4 linked regions of the Saccharomyces cerevisiae S288C genome follow. Changing the gene in region 4 together with the main gene of any one other region gives a genetic interaction. Each region holds a gene or a part of one and is shown on either strand. Other genes may lie near its edges.

Evidence for each region.
Region 1: mutations in BNI1 (region 4) and PAC1 are lethal when combined (synthetic lethality), as found in Saccharomyces cerevisiae (5 studies listed by BioGRID, with this or other methods).
Region 2: mutations in BNI1 (region 4) and NIP100 are lethal when combined (synthetic lethality), as found in Saccharomyces cerevisiae (7 studies listed by BioGRID, with this or other methods).
Region 3: mutations in BNI1 (region 4) and NUM1 are lethal when combined (synthetic lethality), as found in Saccharomyces cerevisiae (5 studies listed by BioGRID, with this or other methods).

Annotation. Positions count from the first base shown.
Region 1 is NC_001147.6:824,701-828,369, reverse strand, and holds PAC1 (Pac1p), read right to left. Parts: upstream 1,986-3,669; coding exon 501-1,985; downstream 1-500. Other genes in the region: VPH1 (H(+)-transporting V0 sector ATPase subunit a), read left to right, coding at 1-318; YOR268C (uncharacterized protein), read left to right, coding at 2,438-2,836; putative serine/threonine protein kinase HRK1, read left to right, coding at 3,503-3,669.
Region 2 is NC_001148.4:219,616-224,404, forward strand, and holds NIP100 (Nip100p), read right to left. Parts: upstream 3,159-4,789; coding exon 552-3,158; downstream 1-551. Other genes in the region: phosphatidylinositol N-acetylglucosaminyltransferase SPT14, read left to right, coding at 1-473; mitochondrial 54S ribosomal protein uL24m MRPL40, read left to right, coding at 3,528-4,421; COX10 (protoheme IX farnesyltransferase), read right to left, coding at 4,738-4,789. UniProt on the Saccharomyces cerevisiae protein: Motor-binding component of the dynactin complex which assists cytoplasmic dynein by increasing its processivity and by regulation of its cargo binding.
Region 3 is NC_001136.10:753,991-758,678, forward strand, and holds the start of NUM1 (Num1p), read left to right. Parts: upstream 1-1,637; coding exon 1,638-4,688. Other genes in the region: KGD2 (dihydrolipoyl transsuccinylase), read right to left, coding at 1-1,076. UniProt on the Saccharomyces cerevisiae protein: Controls nuclear migration. NUM1 specifically controls the interaction of the bud neck cytoskeleton with the pre-divisional G2 nucleus. Functions in dynein-anchoring.
Region 4 is NC_001146.8:129,333-137,142, forward strand, and holds BNI1 (formin BNI1), read right to left. Parts: upstream 6,052-7,810; coding exon 190-6,051; downstream 1-189. Other genes in the region: arginine permease ALP1, read right to left, coding at 6,608-7,810. UniProt on the Saccharomyces cerevisiae protein: Required for the assembly of F-actin structures, such as actin cables and stress fibers. Nucleates actin filaments. Binds to the barbed end of the actin filament and acts as a leaky capper, slowing both polymerization and depolymerization.

The sequences.
Region 1 (3,669 bases), on a different chromosome or scaffold from region 4:
TTATGGGCCTTATCATTGGCACATGCTCAATTGTCTAGTGTTTTATGGACAATGACAATTCAAATTGCCTTTGGATTTAGAGGATTTGTGGGTGTGTTTATGACGGTTGCACTTTTTGCCATGTGGTTCGCACTAACATGTGCAGTTCTTGTTTTGATGGAAGGTACATCTGCCATGCTTCATTCCTTACGTTTGCACTGGGTTGAATCTATGTCCAAGTTTTTCGTGGGTGAAGGTTTACCATACGAACCATTCGCATTTGAGTATAAAGACATGGAAGTCGCTGTTGCTAGTGCAAGCTCTTCCGCTTCAAGCTAAATTTTGAGGACTTTTAAAAAAAGCGAAACATTTAAGTACTTCATTAAATAATAAATGATGCTACTATATAGTGAGTAAACCTTATTATATACTATCAATGCTAATTCAATAAAGTATTTAAAGTATCAACCAATGCTTAAAAAGAGTCAAAAAAAAGGGAAAAAGAAATAGGAAAGCCAAACTTATCTCATGAAAACGTTAGACTTGCAATCCAATCCACCAGTGACCATCATTTGCCTTGGGGTAACGTTAGAATCGAAATCCACATCCAGGTCTAAACAGTTGACAAATCCTGTATGCAACTTTTCCCAAACGTGTAAGCACTGCCCCGTGTTCAGATCCCAACATCTGACAGATTTATCATCAGCACAAGAAAACAAGTATTGGCCTCGAATACTAATATCTCTAACCCACGAAAGATGCCCCTTCAACGTAAGAACACATCTGAAATTTGAATCTGTAGGATTCGGTATGGGTGCTCTATGGGCCATTAACGTAGGTAGAGGTATCTCCCAGATTTTTATCGTTCTATCTCTTGACGCTGAGACACAATATTGCATCCCCCAATTCTTATATCGATCCGTTGATGGTGTTCTAAACCTTATCTCCGGAGAGTCTTCGATGAAATGAATAAATTTAACTTTCTCTATGGGAAATTCATGACCCGTGCCAACACTAAGACCATTACCTGATGGCCAATGTGTTAACCTTAATGTAGTGTCATGTGAACCAGAGATGATGTAATCGCCTAGAACGTCTATGGAACGAACCCATTGGGAATGAGGCTGAAATGTTTTCAACGACCAACCATTGTGGAAGTCCCAAATTTTAACAGTTTGATCTCTGGAACAGGACGCTATATGGACATCATTATTTTTCTGCCAGATTTTTACCGCAGAGACAATATGCTCATGGCCCAATAAAGACCTAATTTGTTGGAACTTGCATTCCTCGGAGACCCACTTGAAAACATGAATCTGCAAATCTTTAGACGCGGTAACGATCACCAAATAGTTCTTCTTGCTGGAGTTCGTATAATTGGTAAATAAAACATCCATGGAGGTAATTGCCTTGGTATGACTTTGCAAGGATGCCAGAGGGATGGTGTAGTTAAATAAATCAAATGCGTATAATTTGCCATGATCTGTGGCCACAAACACTATAGGCAAATTGGGATGTAGTTTGACGGAAGTGACAGATGATTCAACATTAATTAAACAGCTTGGTAGATTTCTCGGTATCCATTTCAAAACATTATGTGCGCTGGTGCCGTTACTGGTGGTAGGTTTGAATTGTGCTAGTTCTGACACTTGAGTGTTCAAATCTTTAATCTGAGATACAAGGGTCTCTGTATTCTGCTCCAATTCAATGATTTTTTTTTGTAGTCTAACAATTGAGTTCCACTTCTTCGGTAGCAGTAATTCATCAATGTCTACCATACTTTCGTTACTGGTGTCATTGTTACTGATGAATTCTTGCCGGTCCACTGATTCTTGCAACAGAAAACCTGATAGAGTTACAATTGCATGTCGAACACTTTCGTAATCTTGAGCATGCTCATGTCGTACAGTTTGTTTGTAATTCCAATTCAAATATCGGAGGACACTTTTATCGAGTTCATTTTTCTGTGTATCTGTTAAAGGAAGCTGTTGCTGCCAGTTAGTCATTTCTATTTTTTTCTACACTTACGCACGCACAGGTGTATACCAACAACCGGACGACGAACCTAGCTGCTTTATCAATGGCTATCTGGGCGACGATGGCCCAATACTAAGATTACCTATTACGTTTACACTCGCCAAAAATAAGAAACAAGTGCAATATGCACGACTTGCAAGCTGAAAATATTTCAAAACACCCACATCCCACAGCACAAAACCAGTGCAAATTCCATAAAGGGAAGTGAATTAAATTCAATGGTAGATGAAAGCACTTTTTCAGGAACCGTTTTAAGATCTAATTGTAGTTTACCAAGATATACTAAAACGTCGTTACTCGTTTTATTTACCTACCATTAGCTAACCGTTGCCATGGCTACCGTCCGGGTCGCCAGCGGCTGCTACTGCAAAAGTTGACAACGAAAAAGAGAAAAAAAAAATTCTCGGCACGCAAGACCTGAATGGTTTTTGTTTTCCCCTTCCCATTTTTTTCTTATGGTTTTTCCAGTTTTCTAGAAGCCGGAAAAAAGGCAAGCTACAAAATGTACTACGCGGAGCCAGAATTAAAAACCACGCGGACGGGACGGGCCGTGGCTTGTGACGCCGGATCCCCGCGTATAATCCGTGTCACGCTAAAGGACAAAATCGGTTTATCCGAGCGGTTTACGGGAAGGGTCTTTTGCTATCTCGCAGTAGCGTGTGCCTGGTTATCCCAATACTACCACCACACCTGTGCTTTTTTTATCTTGTACGTGCATGTATGCGTATGTTTTCTTTTTTTCCGTTGGTGCTTATTCGCTACCGTCTCGTTGATCCATGAATCACAAACACAAGCCGGTTCTGCTTACTATACAAAATAGTCTTGTGTCTTGATTCATATATCCGTCAATAACGTAGCCTTTCTTTATTTTCCTTTCGCTCACCATACTCTTGCATTAGTGTATTTTGTCTTTTATATCGCCAATAAGTGCCCAACTCTTCTACCTGACCCCTACGTCGTCGCCGCCCCTTTTCTTTTTCTTCGCCTAGTTCTATTTGGCTATATATTTCAGAGTGACAAATCTTTAAGAGAGACAAACTGAGAATTAGCATATAGAATCATTCATACAACTGTTTACAAACAAGTAAGCCCAAGACAGTTCCCAACCGCTTAAAGAAGTTTTTCCTAGAGGGAGCAAAGTTCGTTTACATTTCACACACACAGTTTTTTTTCACTTTTTTGGGCCTCTTCCTTTTCCCGTTTTTTTCAAAAAGCTTAGAAATCTTCTTCACCTCCTATTTTTCTAGAATCGTGAAGAATTTCCAGATTTAACAGTTTTCCACTTTTTCAATAAGGAAATAGTAGGAATAATAAAAAAAGGATAGTAGTAACGATATACGTCGACTTTCCAGACTGGTCTCGAGCCGGAATTAAATACAATAGCAGCGTTTGACTACCACATTGTAGCTCCGCTAGAATTGATCGAAAACAAAAATAATAACACTAATAATTATAATAATACGGTAGAACTATTTCTCGTATAAAGATGCCTAATCTATTGTCGAGAAACCCATTCCATGGTCATCATAATGACCATCATCATGACCGTGAAAATTCGTCTAATAACCCGCCACAGTTGATCAGAAGTTCTAAATCTTTCTTAAACTTCATTGGTAGAAAACAAAGTAATGACTCACTAAGAAGCGAGAAATC
Region 2 (4,789 bases), on a different chromosome or scaffold from region 4:
TTGAGGCCGCATCTTGTAATTTGCTAATTGTAACGACACAAGTCGGAGGAATTCCCGAAGTGTTACCAAATGAGATGACTGTTTATGCAGAACAGACATCCGTTTCTGACCTTGTTCAAGCAACAAATAAAGCTATCAATATCATAAGAAGTAAAGCTTTGGACACTTCCTCTTTTCATGATAGCGTGTCTAAAATGTACGACTGGATGGACGTAGCCAAAAGGACAGTAGAGATATATACTAATATATCTTCTACTTCTTCCGCTGATGATAAAGATTGGATGAAAATGGTAGCAAATCTTTACAAAAGAGATGGAATCTGGGCTAAACATCTTTATCTGTTATGTGGAATTGTAGAGTACATGCTTTTTTTCCTCTTAGAGTGGCTATACCCCAGGGATGAAATCGATCTAGCTCCAAAATGGCCCAAGAAAACAGTGTCTAACGAGACGAAGGAAGCAAGAGAAACTTAAACTTTACACAAAACAAAGGAATGTTGTATCCATTTATTTACTGTATTTGAATGTTATAGACCTGCTAGAATCACTCAGTCATTTGTAATATGTAACAACATTTTGAGATTTGAGTCGTATATTTTTCCTCTTGCGCTTTAAATACGAAATGTAAGAATGATCTCTTTCATGCCAGAGTTCATCTTCTGCCAAAGGTTGATCAAGCTTTAAATCTAAAATCCGTGAGGTACTCACGAAGTTGAACATTTCTATCCCCAAGGTGTCCAAACTGTGGTTGATATGTTCTTTGAATGGTTGCTTATTTTCCACAGCTGGAAGCTCGTCTAACCAGCTGAAATCGATGCTCACTCGTTTCTGCTCTTTTATTTGTCGTCTTATGGTTTCTCTCAATTCCATGATTTCCGAAACTAAATTTACTCTATCTACTTTCTCTCTGTCTAAATAAATTTTGTTCAACGTATTATTATCCTTTATTTGATATAGTTTGAGCTCCATATTCTTCAAACGGTTTACTAGGTTGAAATTTTCTTCTTTCAGCTTGTTAAGAATTTCTGTTTTGCCACAATTTTCCTCATTTTTGTTATTTAACTCTACTTTGAGTGTTTTGATATTCTCTTCAAGGGTTTTCCTCTCTAAATCCCTCCCAATAATAATTTTAATTTTTGTTTCCAATTCAGTTAGCATATTTTCCTTTTGGACCAGTACTTCTTTGAGTCGAATGTTCTCTTCATTCAAGCGATCGCTTAATAACGAGTTTGAAAAATTGCCCTCCTTAATATTACATTGACTTTCTGAATCACTTGTTTGTTGACTGGGTTGCTCAGGAAATATAGTTATGTTTTCTAAGAGACTTTCTATTCCTTGAAAAAATACCTCTAGTTTTTTCAAAGAAGAAATACGTTTGTAATCTTGTCGCAAAAACAGTGCATCTGAAAAAAGTATCGTTAAGATAGAGGACAGGGTTATATCACAGGAAGGATATAAAAATAACCTATTGTCTTGTTTCGAAATTTCTTCCTTTCCGATAAGTTTATCTATTCTGGCAATAAGTGAAAGTGATCTCTCGTAAAGGGAACCAATAAGACATAGGGTATCATTGTCATTGAAATTGCTGTTCGTTCTAAGAAAAGCCAACAGCTTCGGAACAGTTGTTTCCAATATCGGATGAAGTATTTTTAGTATCAAGGTCACATCCTTATCTAGAAACTTATTATCTTCTAAAAACTGACAAATGGAAAAGGCGGTTTCCTGTTTAGAAGAAAACTTCCTTTGCAAAAACTCGCTTAGCCACATCGAAATCGGAGCAATATTTACTTTGAAACATTGTAATGTCGTTTCCAGGTGATCGGGAGTATTCTTTATGGTGTAAATATGAAGCGCATAACTGATAGAGCTCAACACTTTTAGAATTATATGGATTTCAATATTCTCCAACTTTCCAAAATTTTCACTTTCGATTACTTCGGCTAAATATTGCAATTGAGAGGAAAGAGCCGCCAAATGTGGTTGTGCAAATGGCTCATATATTTGGTAAAATTTCTTTAGCAATTTATTTTGATATAATTCCTCCTGTAAAGTGTTCACTTTTAGTTCAAGACTTTGAAATTTGTGAGATGTTTTGGCTTCAATAGATTCCAATGTTGCTTTTAATCTTGAATTTTCTTCGATATATGTGCCTGCTATCTCCTTTTCATTTTCCAATGCAGATTGCAAATTACTTAATTGCAGTCTCAGTTCTTGCTCGAGTTGCTCATAGGTAATTCTTAAATTTTCATCCAATTTTTCTTTTGCCTGTAGTTCCTCCAACTCATTGTTTAAAGCCTTTATATTACTTGTGAGTAGGATATTATCATTAGTCAATTTATCAACAATATTAGATGATTTACTTTGAGCTTCAATCTGCAAGGCAAGGTCGCCGATTGTATTATTAGTCTGTTGCAATTGCAGACCTAAATCCGATATTTTTTTAGATAATACTGCATTTTCTTCTAATAACTGAGTATTCTCCTCGAGCAGGTCCTCTTGCACCTTCATAGCTTTATCATATGACAACTTTGTTTGGTCGAGTAGTCCCTGAAGAAGATGGCTCCTTTCTAACAGTGTGCCTTTGTCGAGATCCGGTGCCATTACACTATCTGAAGCATCTAATAGGTGATTGAAATTATCCAAATGAGTTTTCATATTACCATTTTCCACTTTCAGTTCTTTGACTAGTTTATCCAATCTTGAGATTTTAGACAATAGAACAGTTTCATTAGTACTCAGCTTTTCAACGGAAGTTTTCAGCTCATGATTTTCTATTTTAATTTTATTTAATTTGGACGCCAATGATTCACATTTTACTTGTAGATTCTTAATTGTTTCTTGCGCTGCATTACCATTTAGCAAACTATGCTCATCGTCATCTGGTTTATAAAACTGCAACGTATCTTTCTTGCAGAAAAGACCATAATAACCACCATTTGAATTAGCTTTCTTCAGGTCGATATCAAAGTAACGAATACCGTTAGCGCTTCCATCATTCTTTCCTAACGGTTTATCTAGTTCAATGCCGTACCATATGCCTTTTGCAAATTGAGTTTCCCCAATGAATTTCACCCGCCCCTTCATCTCGTTGACTAGAACTGTGTCCTGTAAGCTTATCTTCTGCATATTTGTGTCAACTTGAACACCTGCATTGCGCATTTGTCCAAGGCTGTACTGCGAGGTTGATGGAGATCGAATCTAGAATAGTATTATGTACTTTGCAAAAGTAAAGTACAACATAAAGTCTAGCAGCATATGAGTAACTCTCTACAGTTACGCCAACAATCTCAGTGTGGAGGTTAGAGTAAAAAGAAAGCACCTTACAACTGTACGTTTACATAAGTGACTTTTCAACATATATGCATTTTTTGTTAAGCATTGTAAAATACCCGGTTGAAAAGCGACATGAAAAATAACGACATGTTAGATTCAAAAGTACCTACTGCTCTTTAACAGCTACTTAAGGATTACCTGATAAGAGTAATCCACCGTAAAGAACATTATCAGCAACAAAATTTGTAATCCATCATGTCTGGAAGCTATCAACATTTATCAAACGTTGGATCGCGTGTTATGAAAAGATTGGGGAATCGACCCAAAAACTTTCTTCCTCATAGTGAAAAGTTCATTAAAAAATCTACGCCTGAGTTCATGAAGTCAGATTTAAAGGAAGTAGATGAGAAAACTAGTTTCAAGAGTGAAAAAGAATGGAAGTTTATACCTGGCGACAGAGTAGTAGTAATGAGCGGGGCTTCCAAAGGAAATATAGCTGTAATTAAATCTTTCGATAAAAGAACAAATTCATTCATATTAGATGAGAATGGGCCCACAAAGACTGTTCCAGTTCCTAAACAATTCTGGCTTGAAGGCCAAACATCTCACATGATAACAATTCCAGTTTCAATTTTGGGAAAGGATTTAAGGCTAGTTGCTGATATTGACGATGAAAAGACCCCAGGAAAGACAAGAACGGTGGCAGTAAGGGATGTTTCCTTCAATGGTTCCTACTATGATGCAGACTACAAAAAGGTAATGCCATATAGATGCGTAAAGGGTCAACCAGACTTGATCATTCCATGGCCTAAACCAGACCCAATTGATGTGCAAACGAACTTGGCTACCGATCCTGTAATTGCTAGAGAACAAACATTTTGGGTCGATTCCGTAGTGAGAAACCCTATTCCAAAAAAGGCAATACCAAGTATTCGCAATCCTCATTCTAAGTACAAAAGGGGTACCTTGACAGCGAAAGATATAGCTAAGCTAGTAGCACCTGAGATGCCCCTAACAGAGGTAAGAAAAAGCCATTTGGCAGAAAAAAAGGAGTTGGCTGAGAGAGAAGTACCAAAACTAACTGAAGAGGACATGGAAGCTATTGGGGCGAGGGTTTTTGAATTTTTGGAAAAACAAAAAAGAGAATAAATGTACCAAGTGTATGCACTCTATTTTTATATTTGATTCTCTAGTGTGATTTTTTTAATCAGTATATCCCCTTCACTATTCACGTAGTAAATAAGTTATATTCGACCTGTATATATGAAAGCATAAAGTAAAGTTCAAAGAATATTCAGATATTGATGTGGGCAAACGTGATGACTTCAAATTACAAAATCTTTTCTTTAAAAATAAATTATGTGCGTATGTACATTATTTTTAACCAATAAAAGGGTTTAAATATTTATTTACAAGATTAATGACTGCCCTTTAAGCGTTGTCTCTTTATCTCATTGTACTAATGCTAAAATCGTTCCTGTGGTCGCTTTGCTTCACCAGGATATATCCAATCCCAG
Region 3 (4,688 bases), on a different chromosome or scaffold from region 4:
ACAATTTCGTTCTCAATATCTAAAACACTCAATGACTCTGCATTACGAACGACGGGGGTAACCAAACCCTTTGGAGTGGCCACAGCAACAGAAATATCTGTGTAATCACGATAAACAATCTGGTCACCTTCAATGGCACCATTGACGGCTGGAATATCCTTGGCGGCCAAGGTACATGCTTTGGAGAAAAGACCCATGAATCCGAATTTAGTACCGGTCTTCTTAATAATCTCATCTTTATACAGTTTCCTCATTTCCATCAAAGCTGACATGTCAACTTCGTTGAATGTGGTTAAGGAAGCAGCAGTGTTTTGAGACTCTTTTAATCTTTCGGCAATCCTCAATCTCATACGGTTCATTTTGACCCTGGTTTCTGTACGTGGAAATGGTGTGAAAGAGTTAGAGGCTACTGGGGGTTCCTGCGCCTTAGAGACGGTCTTCTTTGGTTGATCAGCCTTTTTTGGTTCTGTAACTTCTTTCTTTGGAGCGGCTTCTTTCTTTGGAGCAGCTTCTTTCTTTGAAGCCGTTTCCTCACTTGAGTTTTCCCTTGCGGCGACACCTTGCGATGGCTCCGCTTGTTCGGTAGGCTCTGGCTTAGATTCTCCAGAACCCTCAGCAGGTGCTTCACCAGGCTCGACCTGAGCTAACTCCTCACCAACAGTGACAGTGTCCTCTGGTTTGAAATTTAGCTTCGTAACAGTACCTGATACTGGCGAATTGACCTCAATATCAATTTTATCGGTCTCAATAGTGGCCAACAGCTCGTCCTCCTTAATAAAATCACCAACGTTTTTAGTATATTCCTTTAAAGAGCCTTCAGTCAGGGACTCTGCCATCGGAGGAACTTCAATAGAGGTAGATTTAAAACGATTGCTAGTTATGGAGAACGGATTCGCCGCAACTGAAATTTTCTTGCCGGATAAATATATTGAACCTAAGGATTCGACCTTGTTAGCTTGTTTGAACAAACTTGTAGAAGCATGTCTCTTGACGAAAGAAGCAGCCATAACATTTCTAGCCACTTTAGATTTTACTAAGGATTTGGCAGCTGCAGTACGCGTCGCTCTGGAAAGCATTGTTTAAATAATTATCTGAAGTTGTGTCTTTGGTTGTAACAAATGTGGTAGTGAAGTTTATAACAATATATCTATTCACTGATATATACCGTTAAAGATAGCTGCCTAATTTTTTATTTCGGATTTTTCTTTTTTTTACGTTAGATATTTCCTCCCCTGAAGCTCAAAAAGAGATTATATATGAAAAGTAGGCCTAGTTGAGGGAAAAAGGATTTGCATTTGCTGATAGACCAAGTGTGGATCCGAGCCCTGTAGTAGAATGGTGCTAATGTAGAATAAGAATAAGCTTTAGGAACCATAGATTCCTGCGTAATTTGTGGCCGCTTTATTGGCTCACTCCGGGCAGGACCTTAGTTTTGATTGGCTGCAAAAAAAGGGTTGTTAATATCGTCTTTGACGGAGATGCGGGTGGCTGGAATTGTTTTGTTTATTATTCCCCAAGAGAGAAGAGACAAGAAGTAGTAATGACGATGGAACAAAGATCGGTTCTAATAGGACCACAGGGTTGAATAGAGACGAGTAAAGACGCAACGGTCAAGGCTTTCCACGAGACGTTCGAATATGTCCCACAACAACAGGCATAAAAAGAATAACGATAAAGACAGCTCAGCAGGGCAGTATGCAAATAGCATTGACAATTCATTAAGCCAGGAAAGCGTCTCAACGAACGGCGTAACAAGGATGGCTAACTTAAAGGCTGATGAATGCGGCAGTGGTGATGAAGGAGATAAAACAAAGCGGTTTTCGATTTCAAGTATTTTGAGTAAAAGAGAGACAAAAGACGTGCTTCCGGAATTTGCAGGCAGTAGTTCCCACAATGGAGTACTCACGGCGAATTCATCAAAGGATATGAACTTTACTTTGGAACTAAGCGAGAATTTGTTGGTTGAGTGTAGGAAATTGCAATCCTCTAATGAAGCTAAAAATGAGCAAATCAAGTCTCTCAAGCAAATTAAAGAGTCATTAAGTGACAAGATTGAGGAGCTCACTAACCAAAAAAAGTCCTTCATGAAAGAGTTGGATTCAACTAAAGATTTAAACTGGGATTTAGAATCTAAATTAACAAACTTGAGCATGGAATGTAGGCAATTAAAAGAATTGAAGAAAAAGACTGAAAAATCTTGGAATGATGAAAAAGAAAGCCTGAAACTTCTGAAAACAGATTTGGAAATTTTAACATTAACAAAAAATGGCATGGAAAATGATCTTAGCTCTCAAAAACTTCATTACGATAAAGAGATTAGTGAATTAAAGGAAAGGATTTTAGACTTAAATAATGAAAACGACAGATTACTTATTAGTGTTTCTGATCTAACAAGTGAAATTAATTCCTTACAGAGCAATAGAACTGAAAGAATAAAAATTCAAAAGCAACTTGATGACGCCAAAGCATCTATTTCTTCGTTAAAAAGAAAAGTACAAAAGAAGTATTATCAAAAACAGCATACTTCCGATACTACAGTAACATCTGATCCTGATTCTGAGGGGACCACTAGTGAAGAAGACATTTTTGATATAGTGATCGAAATTGACCACATGATTGAAACAGGCCCCTCTGTCGAGGACATTTCTGAAGATCTTGTCAAGAAATACTCAGAAAAAAACAATATGATATTGTTATCGAATGATTCATATAAAAACTTACTACAAAAAAGTGAAAGTGCATCCAAACCAAAAGACGATGAATTAATGACCAAAGAGGTGGCTGAAAACCTGAATATGATCGCGTTACCAAATGATGACAATTACAGCAAAAAAGAGTTTTCGTTAGAATCTCATATTAAATATTTAGAAGCTTCTGGCTATAAAGTTCTTCCTCTAGAGGAGTTTGAGAACCTAAACGAATCCCTATCAAATCCATCATATAACTATCTCAAGGAAAAACTTCAGGCTTTGAAAAAGATACCCATCGATCAAAGTACGTTTAACTTGTTAAAAGAGCCTACTATTGATTTTTTACTGCCTTTAACATCCAAAATTGATTGCCTGATAATACCTACCAAAGATTATAATGACCTTTTTGAGAGTGTCAAGAATCCATCAATTGAACAAATGAAAAAATGCCTGGAAGCAAAGAACGACTTACAATCGAATATTTGTAAATGGCTGGAGGAGAGAAACGGCTGTAAATGGCTAAGTAATGATCTGTATTTTTCAATGGTTAATAAGATAGAAACACCTTCGAAACAATACCTGTCAGATAAGGCAAAAGAATACGACCAAGTGCTGATTGATACTAAAGCCTTAGAAGGTTTAAAGAACCCAACGATAGACTTTCTAAGAGAAAAAGCTTCTGCATCAGATTATTTATTACTCAAAAAAGAAGACTACGTGAGCCCATCACTGGAATACCTAGTTGAACATGCCAAGGCCACCAATCACCATTTACTATCGGATAGTGCATACGAAGACCTAGTCAAGTGCAAGGAGAATCCTGATATGGAATTCTTGAAGGAGAAGTCTGCCAAACTAGGCCACACTGTGGTATCCAACGAGGCATATTCTGAATTGGAAAAGAAACTAGAACAACCATCACTGGAATACCTAGTTGAACATGCCAAGGCGACCAATCACCATTTACTATCGGATAGTGCATACGAAGACCTAGTCAAGTGCAAGGAGAATCCTGATATGGAATTCTTGAAGGAGAAGTCTGCCAAACTAGGCCATACTGTGGTATCCAACGAGGCATATTCTGAATTGCAACGCAAATACTCAGAATTGGAGAAGGAAGTAGAACAACCATCTCTAGCATACTTAGTTGAACACGCCAAGGCTACCGATCACCATTTACTATCGGATAGTGCATACGAAGACCTAGTCAAGTGCAAGGAGAATCCTGATGTGGAATTCTTGAAGGAGAAGTCTGCTAAACTAGGCCATACTGTGGTATCTAGCGAGGAATATTCTGAATTGCAACGCAAATACTCAGAATTGGAGAAGGAAGTAGAACAACCATCACTAGCATACCTAGTCGAACACGCCAAGGCTACCGATCACCATTTACTATCGGATAGTGCATACGAAGAACTAGTCAAGTGCAAGGAGAATCCTGATATGGAATTCTTGAAGGAGAAGTCTGCCAAACTAGGCCACACTGTGGTATCCAACGAGGCATATTCTGAATTGGAAAAGAAACTAGAACAACCATCACTAGCATACCTAGTCGAACATGCCAAGGCTACCGATCACCATCTGCTATCGGATAGTGCATACGAAGACCTAGTCAAGTGCAAGGAAAATTCTGATGTAGAATTCTTGAAGGAGAAGTCTGCTAAACTAGGCCATACTGTGGTATCCAACGAAGCATATTCTGAATTGGAAAAGAAACTAGAACAACCATCACTAGCATACCTAGTCGAACATGCCAAGGCTACCGATCACCATCTGCTATCGGATAGTGCATACGAAGACCTAGTCAAGTGCAAGGAGAATCCTGATATGGAATTCTTGAAGGAGAAGTCTGCCAAACTAGGCCACACTGTGGTATCCAACGAGGCATATTCTGAATTGGAAAAGAAACTAGAACAACCATCACTGGAATACCTAGTTGAACATGCCAAGGCCACCAATCACCATTTACTATCGGATAGTGCATACGAAGACCTAGTC
Region 4 (7,810 bases):
TATTTCAAAAATGCAATAGTAGAGATCATTTGAGTAAAGATGAATGTAAAGTGTATCATAAGTGATCTATAAACATTAAAATTATATATATATATGTGATTTAATGATTCGTGACTATTTCTTTGTACTAGTGCTTGTTTGGATGTTTGTTTTGGTATTACTGTTGTCATAATTTTTTGGTTTAATATTTTATTTGAAACTTAGCCTGTTACCTGTGCTAGCCTCACCTATGGATCTTTCCTTGCGGGCCCTCAATTTTTCTAGATGTTCATCGAGTATGGAATTTTGCTTTACTGGTGTGTCAGAGCCTCTTAGCTCCTTTAATAACATTCTAGCTCTGTCACTAATTTCCTCTTGATCTTCCAGCGCAGATGTCTTGGATGGCGATGGTAAATCTTCAGAGGTATTCATAACACCCCTTGTGGCAAGCGGAGTGGGTGATTCAGCGTGAATCACTGTATCGGCAGTAGGGTCCATAGCTTCTGGAGAATAAAGAATAGACCCTTCTTCAGTATCCAAATCGTTGAGTAATTGTGGAGCGTTGTCTTTTTCAGAAAGATATTTTTTCCTCACTAGGGCTCTCTTTCTGGCGGAAGATGGGTCACTTTTAGCAGGACCTGCATTTTTCAACTGTTCTAATAGTTTATCCATAACAGCGCGCCTATCTTCTGCTTCATCCTCTTCATTTCCTTCAGATGAAGGCGAATTGCTGTTCTCTTTTTGTTTTTCCTTTTCTTGTGCCCTTTTTTGCTGTTCTTCCACTATTTTCTTATGCTTTATATAAAGTCTTTCTTCTTCTTCCGCGGCTAGATTTTGCGCTTGAGCTTTTTTGTATTCATTTATAAAATCTGCAAATTTCTTAAAGAATGAGATTTTTGCAAACTTATCACCAGAATCTTCACCGTACGTATGCATCAGACTTTCAAATTCCATGATAGTCAGCTTAACTTCGTCTTCTAACAAGTCCCCCTTTTTTCTGGCTTCCGGTAACACGGGCAATGTTTTTATCAAAACTTTATCTAATGGATGAAACTTTGAGGAATCGCTTAAATTACCAATTTCAACTGAACGCTCTACGTTTACAATCGATTGGCTAAAGTCCTTACAGTCGTTAACTAACTGCTCAATGGAAACTTTCACGACATCCAATACAGGTTCTAATTCACTTAGAAAGTCATTGAAGCTTGGATAATTTAACCTGACAATTTTTTCGACGTAATTTAGAAAGGTCATGCTATTGGTAGTATCCTTGATAAACGTCAACCTCTGCAAGGTTGAAAGTTTGAAACCTTGTGCCTGCTTAGAAGTGTCGTTCATGAAATTACCAACTGCTAAGATAACATTAAAGACATTGCGCAAGTTATCTGATTCTTGAAGCGCGCTAACAGCTTTGTCGACTTTTCTTAACTTTGCCAATAACTCATTATATTCTCTTTCATACGAAGTAACCACTGTGAGAGCTCTCATACGTGAACCCCAGTATGATTCTAGATTAACCATCAATTGCAAATAAATTTGGTCAGCCCTCTGTAAATCGTTTGGATCTTTTTCAGGGGGCTTGGCATCTTCGAGATTCCTCACGCCCTCCCAGTCTGTCGAATACGGGGCGTAATTCCTAGCTAAATTAACAGAAACTTCAATTATTTCAGATTTTGACAAAAACTCAACAACACTCGGTGTTTGCAAAAAATCCCTATCGCAGTTTAGAATCTTTTTCACCAGATCGGCAACCGAAAGTGATGAATACATATGCAAATTGATACCAAACTGTTGAGAAATATCCCTGGATAAAAATGTAATTTTCTGCAGATCTTCCTTGCGCTTGCTTGCTAATGATTTAATTTCCCTAGCGGCAAAGGCCTTTTCTAAATCAGCAAGAACACCCTTTTCGTATAAGTCATCTGCGAACTTCTCAGCTTTACCTGTACCCCAAATAGAATTATCAGTACAATCTAATTTTTCCCAATGCAGTTGCTTTAATTTCTTGTGTGGACGAGGATACTTTTCAAATAATGAGGGCGATTGAGGAAGTAATGGTGATGTTACAGCTGATTTGATTTGCGATGCCGGCATCATAGGTGGAGCTGGCGGAATGACGCCATCAGTAGATGAAGATAATACAGATGGTAGCGGCGGCGGTGGTGGTGTTTCTCCCTTGGGTTTGCCGAACAATGCCATGGGTGGAGGAGGAGGTGGTGGTGGTGGAGGGGGAGGAGCAGGAGAATCCCCAGTAGTTTCTTGCTTGACAGTGTCGTCTTCCGACTTTTTCTCTTTCTCCAACGATTCACCGAACAATTTGGCGGGAACTGGAGGAGGAGGAGGAGGAGGCGGTGGCGGCTGTGAGGAGAGTACAGATGATTGAGTAGAGAGATCTTCTGCGCCATCTGTATTATTCAGTTTACTCACAGCGCTGAAATCCGCTGTTTTATCTTCTTCATGATTTACCACACGCCCTTGCTTTCCGTTTTCCACATGTTGTCTCATGTCTTTCTCAGCTTTGTCAAAGGCGGAAGCTGCACTTGCCGTGCTGTTTTCCGGTAAAGATTTTTTATCTAGACCTTCATCTTCATTTTGTTCATATGGTTCAACTTTATTTACCTTCTGTGTTAACTCCTCTAAATATGGAGCAGAAGACACGGTGGATTTTCTGAGTCTGTTCATAAAGGTCTTTTCAACTTTACTATGTAGAGGTCCAATACCCGAACCGTTATTGTTCTCTCCAAAAGCAGCCGATGCAGTAACATTTTGACCAGTACCATATTTTTGAGATAAGGCATCGAGAAAAGACCCAGGACCTGATCCTGAAGATAGCTCTGAGTGTTCGCTCCTTAGTTCTTGAGTTGGAGATGCGTCTTGGTATATTTCCTCACTTTCATCATCAGAACTTGAAGAGGAAAGATCGCTTTCCCCATCTTCTTCTACTTGTATTTCGTGTTCGGTTTGAGTCTGAATATCTAACAACTGGTCCGTTATTCTATTAATCTCGTCTAACTTTTTCTGATATGTCTTAGGGTCAAGACTGGCATAGTTAGCGTCTTCTTCCGTTTCCACGTCCCCAGTATTTTTCTTTGGACTGTCCATAATCTCGTCGACATTAAAGTCAATACCAAATCCTTTGTATTTTGTTTCTAGTTCTTTCAGTCTCTTTAAAGCCAGAGATTTCTTTTCATTAAATAGCTCATTAACACGTTCTTCGACGTTAAATTTGGAAATATCATTACTTTCCATTTGGATTTCAGCCAAAGCCCGCCTTAGGTCATTTAGTTTATTTACGTCCGCCTCTTGAGGCTTGACTAAAGGTTTCCTATCCTTATTTTTCATCTTCTTCACTTTGGGCTTCTTAATATGTATTGGAGGTTCAAGACGATCTTTCTCAAATTCAGCAAAATTTGTCATCTCTAGTTGCCTGGCTTCATTTTCAATATTTTCCATTTGCATTCTTAACATTTTTAATCTCTTATTAGGTTGAAGTGTCATGCCGAATTTTTTTGAATCATCCTTGTAATCCTTTTTTGCTCTTGATAATCCGTCCTGTAACACCTTTTGGATATTCGCTTTCTCTGAAGAATTTAGGCTCGAGTTCATACCTCTGGTGCCTTCATTCTTATTGAAGCTTTCTTCAGGCCTCGAATTCAATATAGTCAACATTTTTCTCAATTCTACCTCTTGCTGATGCTTTTCCAAAAGATGCTTCTTTTTCAACTCTTCTAACTCAGCTTCCAGCTGCTGCATAACTCTCTGATTCTTAGCTAAAATACGATCTCTCTCATGCAACTCATCTTCTAACTGTCCAACGAGTCCGTGCTCCGCCTTGCTTAACTTTTCACTTAAAGAATCCCTTTCTGCCTGAATTTCTTCCAATTTCTTCGTTAGAGCTCTACTTTCTAATATAGCTCGACGTGCAACTTCATCAGTCTGCATGGCATCGTAAAGCCGCTGGATAGCCATATTCATATTAGTTTCTTCATCAGAAGTTGAGGCAACACTAACATTAGTCACCAAAGAATCCATAAGTTTCAATTGCTTAGTAAGTTTAGAGGAATTTTGGTTTTCTTCTATTAACTTTGAACTAGAAAGGAAAAGATGTTGAACTAAAGATACTAAAAGCTTTTCATTCTCGGTACCTTTACATATATCCCAAAGGTTTTTTAATAATGATAGTGGATCGTGTAAATCTACATTAAAAGCCTTATTGTTGGCCTCTAATTTAACGTTAAAATCGTCAAGTTTATTATTGTCATATAACTCAATTTGGTCAATTACCTTGTCGTAATCTAGCAGTTTTATTTTGTTCATAATTCGTAAAATTCCACAATTTTCTAGTTTCGTCCTTAATAGCATTCTTTGATTTATGTTATCAGAGCAAGAGCATAAATGATTGATAAAAACCATTGTCCATTGGCAGTATTCTAGAATCGCATTTTCACCCCCACCATTTTTAAATTCATCCGACGCGCCTACTAAGGAACCCATTTTTCCTCTTCCATCTAAAGTTTGTTCAACGGCAAATAACCAGGCTTGAATAATTTTCAAATGACTTTCCAAGGTTAAATGAGAGAAATACTGGGGCATTTTTTTGAAGTTTTGAATCATATGAAGATTTTGCCCTATCCTAAACTTTTTATCTAGTGAGGTAAGAACTGCTTCGAATCTGCTTTTATTTTTTTTTTCTAGCATACAAACAAAAATTTCAGTGGCCATTTTCCTTGTGGCCAGTTTCGTAGAGAATAAACCTTCTGCAACAGTATCAGTCATTAACCTATGTGTACTGAACTCATACAAACCTTGTGAGAGCATTGATAAGACTCTGAAGCATTTAAAAAATGAATTTTCTTTCTCTAATAATTCTTTAGTCAAGTTTTCTCGGGGTGCAGTCTTATAAATAGAGTTCATTAGTACATTAGCCATAGCAATGTGACCCTGATGGTCTATAAAAGCGTCTACCCAGTCTAACTGTTCAGTTCTTAAAGTTACCCATAAATCTTTCATCTCATCGCTAGTAAGTTTGTCTGCCAGGATTCGTTGCACATAATGTATCGGTGGTCTGTTTGTTCTGTCTCCTGGAAGAGTAGATGCACTCGTATTGTTCTCAGCCCCACCTCTATAAATATTGTTTAGAGATGGCTGCTTTTTCAAACTCCCGCTCACTAATTTTTTCCCCTTCGAGGTTGACGTACCTACCGATGAAAGAGTAGTAGAATGATTTAAACTGTTGCTGTATACAGTTGAGGTGGGAGAAGAGGCGCTTGTCATCAAAACAGATTTGGGAGACGAAAGAGATGAATTAGCCGTAAGGATAGGATGATGGTCCGACGCCATCGAAGTTCTGGAGGCAGTGGAAGAAGATGTAGTGTTTGCTCGCATTTTTTTTAGCTCATTTTGTAAATCCTGCTTAACAATCAGCCATTTCTTCTCAATGCTGTAGCCCATCAGAGCTTCTTGTTTGTCCTCTGATAAAGACTGAAAAATATTTCTTTTATACATAATATCTTCAAACAAAACTTCCACCTCGTATGGGTCCGACGGCATTTCTAAATAAATTTTACCATCGGGTGTAGTGAATTTGCTCAAGTTAGTTAGCGAACCTTGAGAGAGAAGACTTGATGCGGAGTGACTTTGCCCGGTATGCTGCCTTGTTAGCTTATTGGACGCCTGTGAAGAATTCCTCTTGGAATACGAATATTTCGATTGCATTGAATGCGACCTTGCGTGCTGTGAGGATACGGGAACATCTCCACTTAATTTACCATTCATATATTGAGACAAGTTTTGTGTGTTTAATGTCGATTTTTTATTCAACGGCCTCGCCTCAGTAGATGTAGACCTAGAAGGTGCATTCAGTTTTCTAAAAGATGACGAAGATGCAGGTGAAGTGGACACTTCGTTTCCCACTGGAGAGTGCTGTTGTTGGGATGCATAGGTCGGAGAACCCGTATTGCTATTCGTTGCATTTGAGTTAGCCAAACGCTTCAAATTTTGGAATATACCAGAACTCGAATTCGAATGACTTTCCTTTGAGTTCGAATGTTTGGAGCCTGAATTCTTCAACATTTCCTTTCCTTCTCTTCCTTTCTTGCTTCTCGTTTGTTGAAAAGGTTCAGGTGCCTTCTTTATGTGGCGTGTATTTAGAATTTAACTAGGCTTGAGTTAAAATGTTTCTCCTCAATACAGAAGATAGATACAAATGGCAAAAAAAAAAGTAAAAAATGGCCCAACTGTATGAGACGTATAAAAAACGTGAAGGGTGAAGAAAAGAATGCCACTGTCCAATTTTATGCTTAATACGAAAATAATTAACACACAGCCGTCAGTGTCCTCTTATCTGTAGGAAGGGTCCGTGCTATTGTTCTTAAAAGGGATTCTAGTTTTCCACATCTGTTTTTTCTTTCTTTCCCTCTTCCACGTCAAAAACTTCCTCTAACCGATGTCGGGTAAGCCATGGAAATTACGGGCGATGACTTTCGGCGGCTAACAACGAAACAACTAGGGAGTAATCATATAATCACAGGAAAAGAGTTGAGCAAGGATTTGGCAAATATACATATACATACATACATACATACATACATATATATGTGTGTGTGTGGTATGGAGTATTATTCTAAAATTATGAAAGGACATCCCAAACTCGTTGCCACCTTGTTTTACATTCTGGCTCTATCCATACCAACTCCTCTATTTGCCGGCGGTCAGAATCGATATCGATATCCTGCAGCTTCCAGAGTAAGCGGCACTTAAACCAAACTTGGAATGATAACCATATGGCCAAAAATAGGAATATTGATATATATGCAGCGACAAAGTCTATAGGCTGAAAAGTAGGTGCGAAAGCGGTGAAGCCCTGGATCAGAACAATTAGAGCGATGAAAAAAGATGCATAATATGCCAAAAAAGGCATCATTTGAGCTTTATAAGGTAAGTCATCCCTCGATATACCACGTTTCCTTATGGCTTGCATGAAACGGATATGAGAAAATGAAATCAAAAGCCAGGCAAAGAAACCGGCCACACCAGTTATGTTCAATAACCAGTTAAAGGCCTTGCCGCTGCCTGCAGAAACCTCTAAGAAAGCCAAAAATCCGAACACGGATGTAGATAGAACAGAAAAGTATGGAACACCACCTCTGGTCACGTTAGACAAGAACCTTGGCGCCAAGCTATTTTTAGACAGACTATACAGTACTCTTGAGCCAATGTACACATTAGAGTTACCTGCGGAAAGAATGGTGATTAGCACGACCGCGTTAAATATATCTGGGAGAACTTTTGTGCCTGAATTCTCAATGCTTATCATAAAGGGCGATGAAGAGACAAATATACCGTCACTATCCAACTTTGGGTCATTATATGGGACCAAAAGGCCAATGAAAAATAGTGAAAGAATGTAAAAGACTAGAATCCTCACTACAACTTTCTTTATTGCCCTCGGGAGAGCTTTTCTTGGGTTAGCCGCTTCACCAGCGGTTATCCCAACCAGTTCAGTACCTTGGTACGTAAATGCAGCATTAATCAAAGAGGAAACCCATCCGAGAAAACGGCCCTCATTTTTATCACTGGAGATAATGCCAGGCCCCCAGGCTCCTGGATTTCTCCAGTACCTGAAACCGATGGGTCCATCAGATTGTCCCGCACCACACACAACACAGAATGAGAAAATGATAAAACCGAGCAACGCGATGACCTTTATGGAGGCAATACAAAACTCAAATTCTCCGTAATACTTTACGGGAAACATGTTCATTGAAGTTAACAGGCACCAAAAGATCACGATCCAAGCCGCTAGAGGCACTGCTTCTGTCCAGTACTGAAT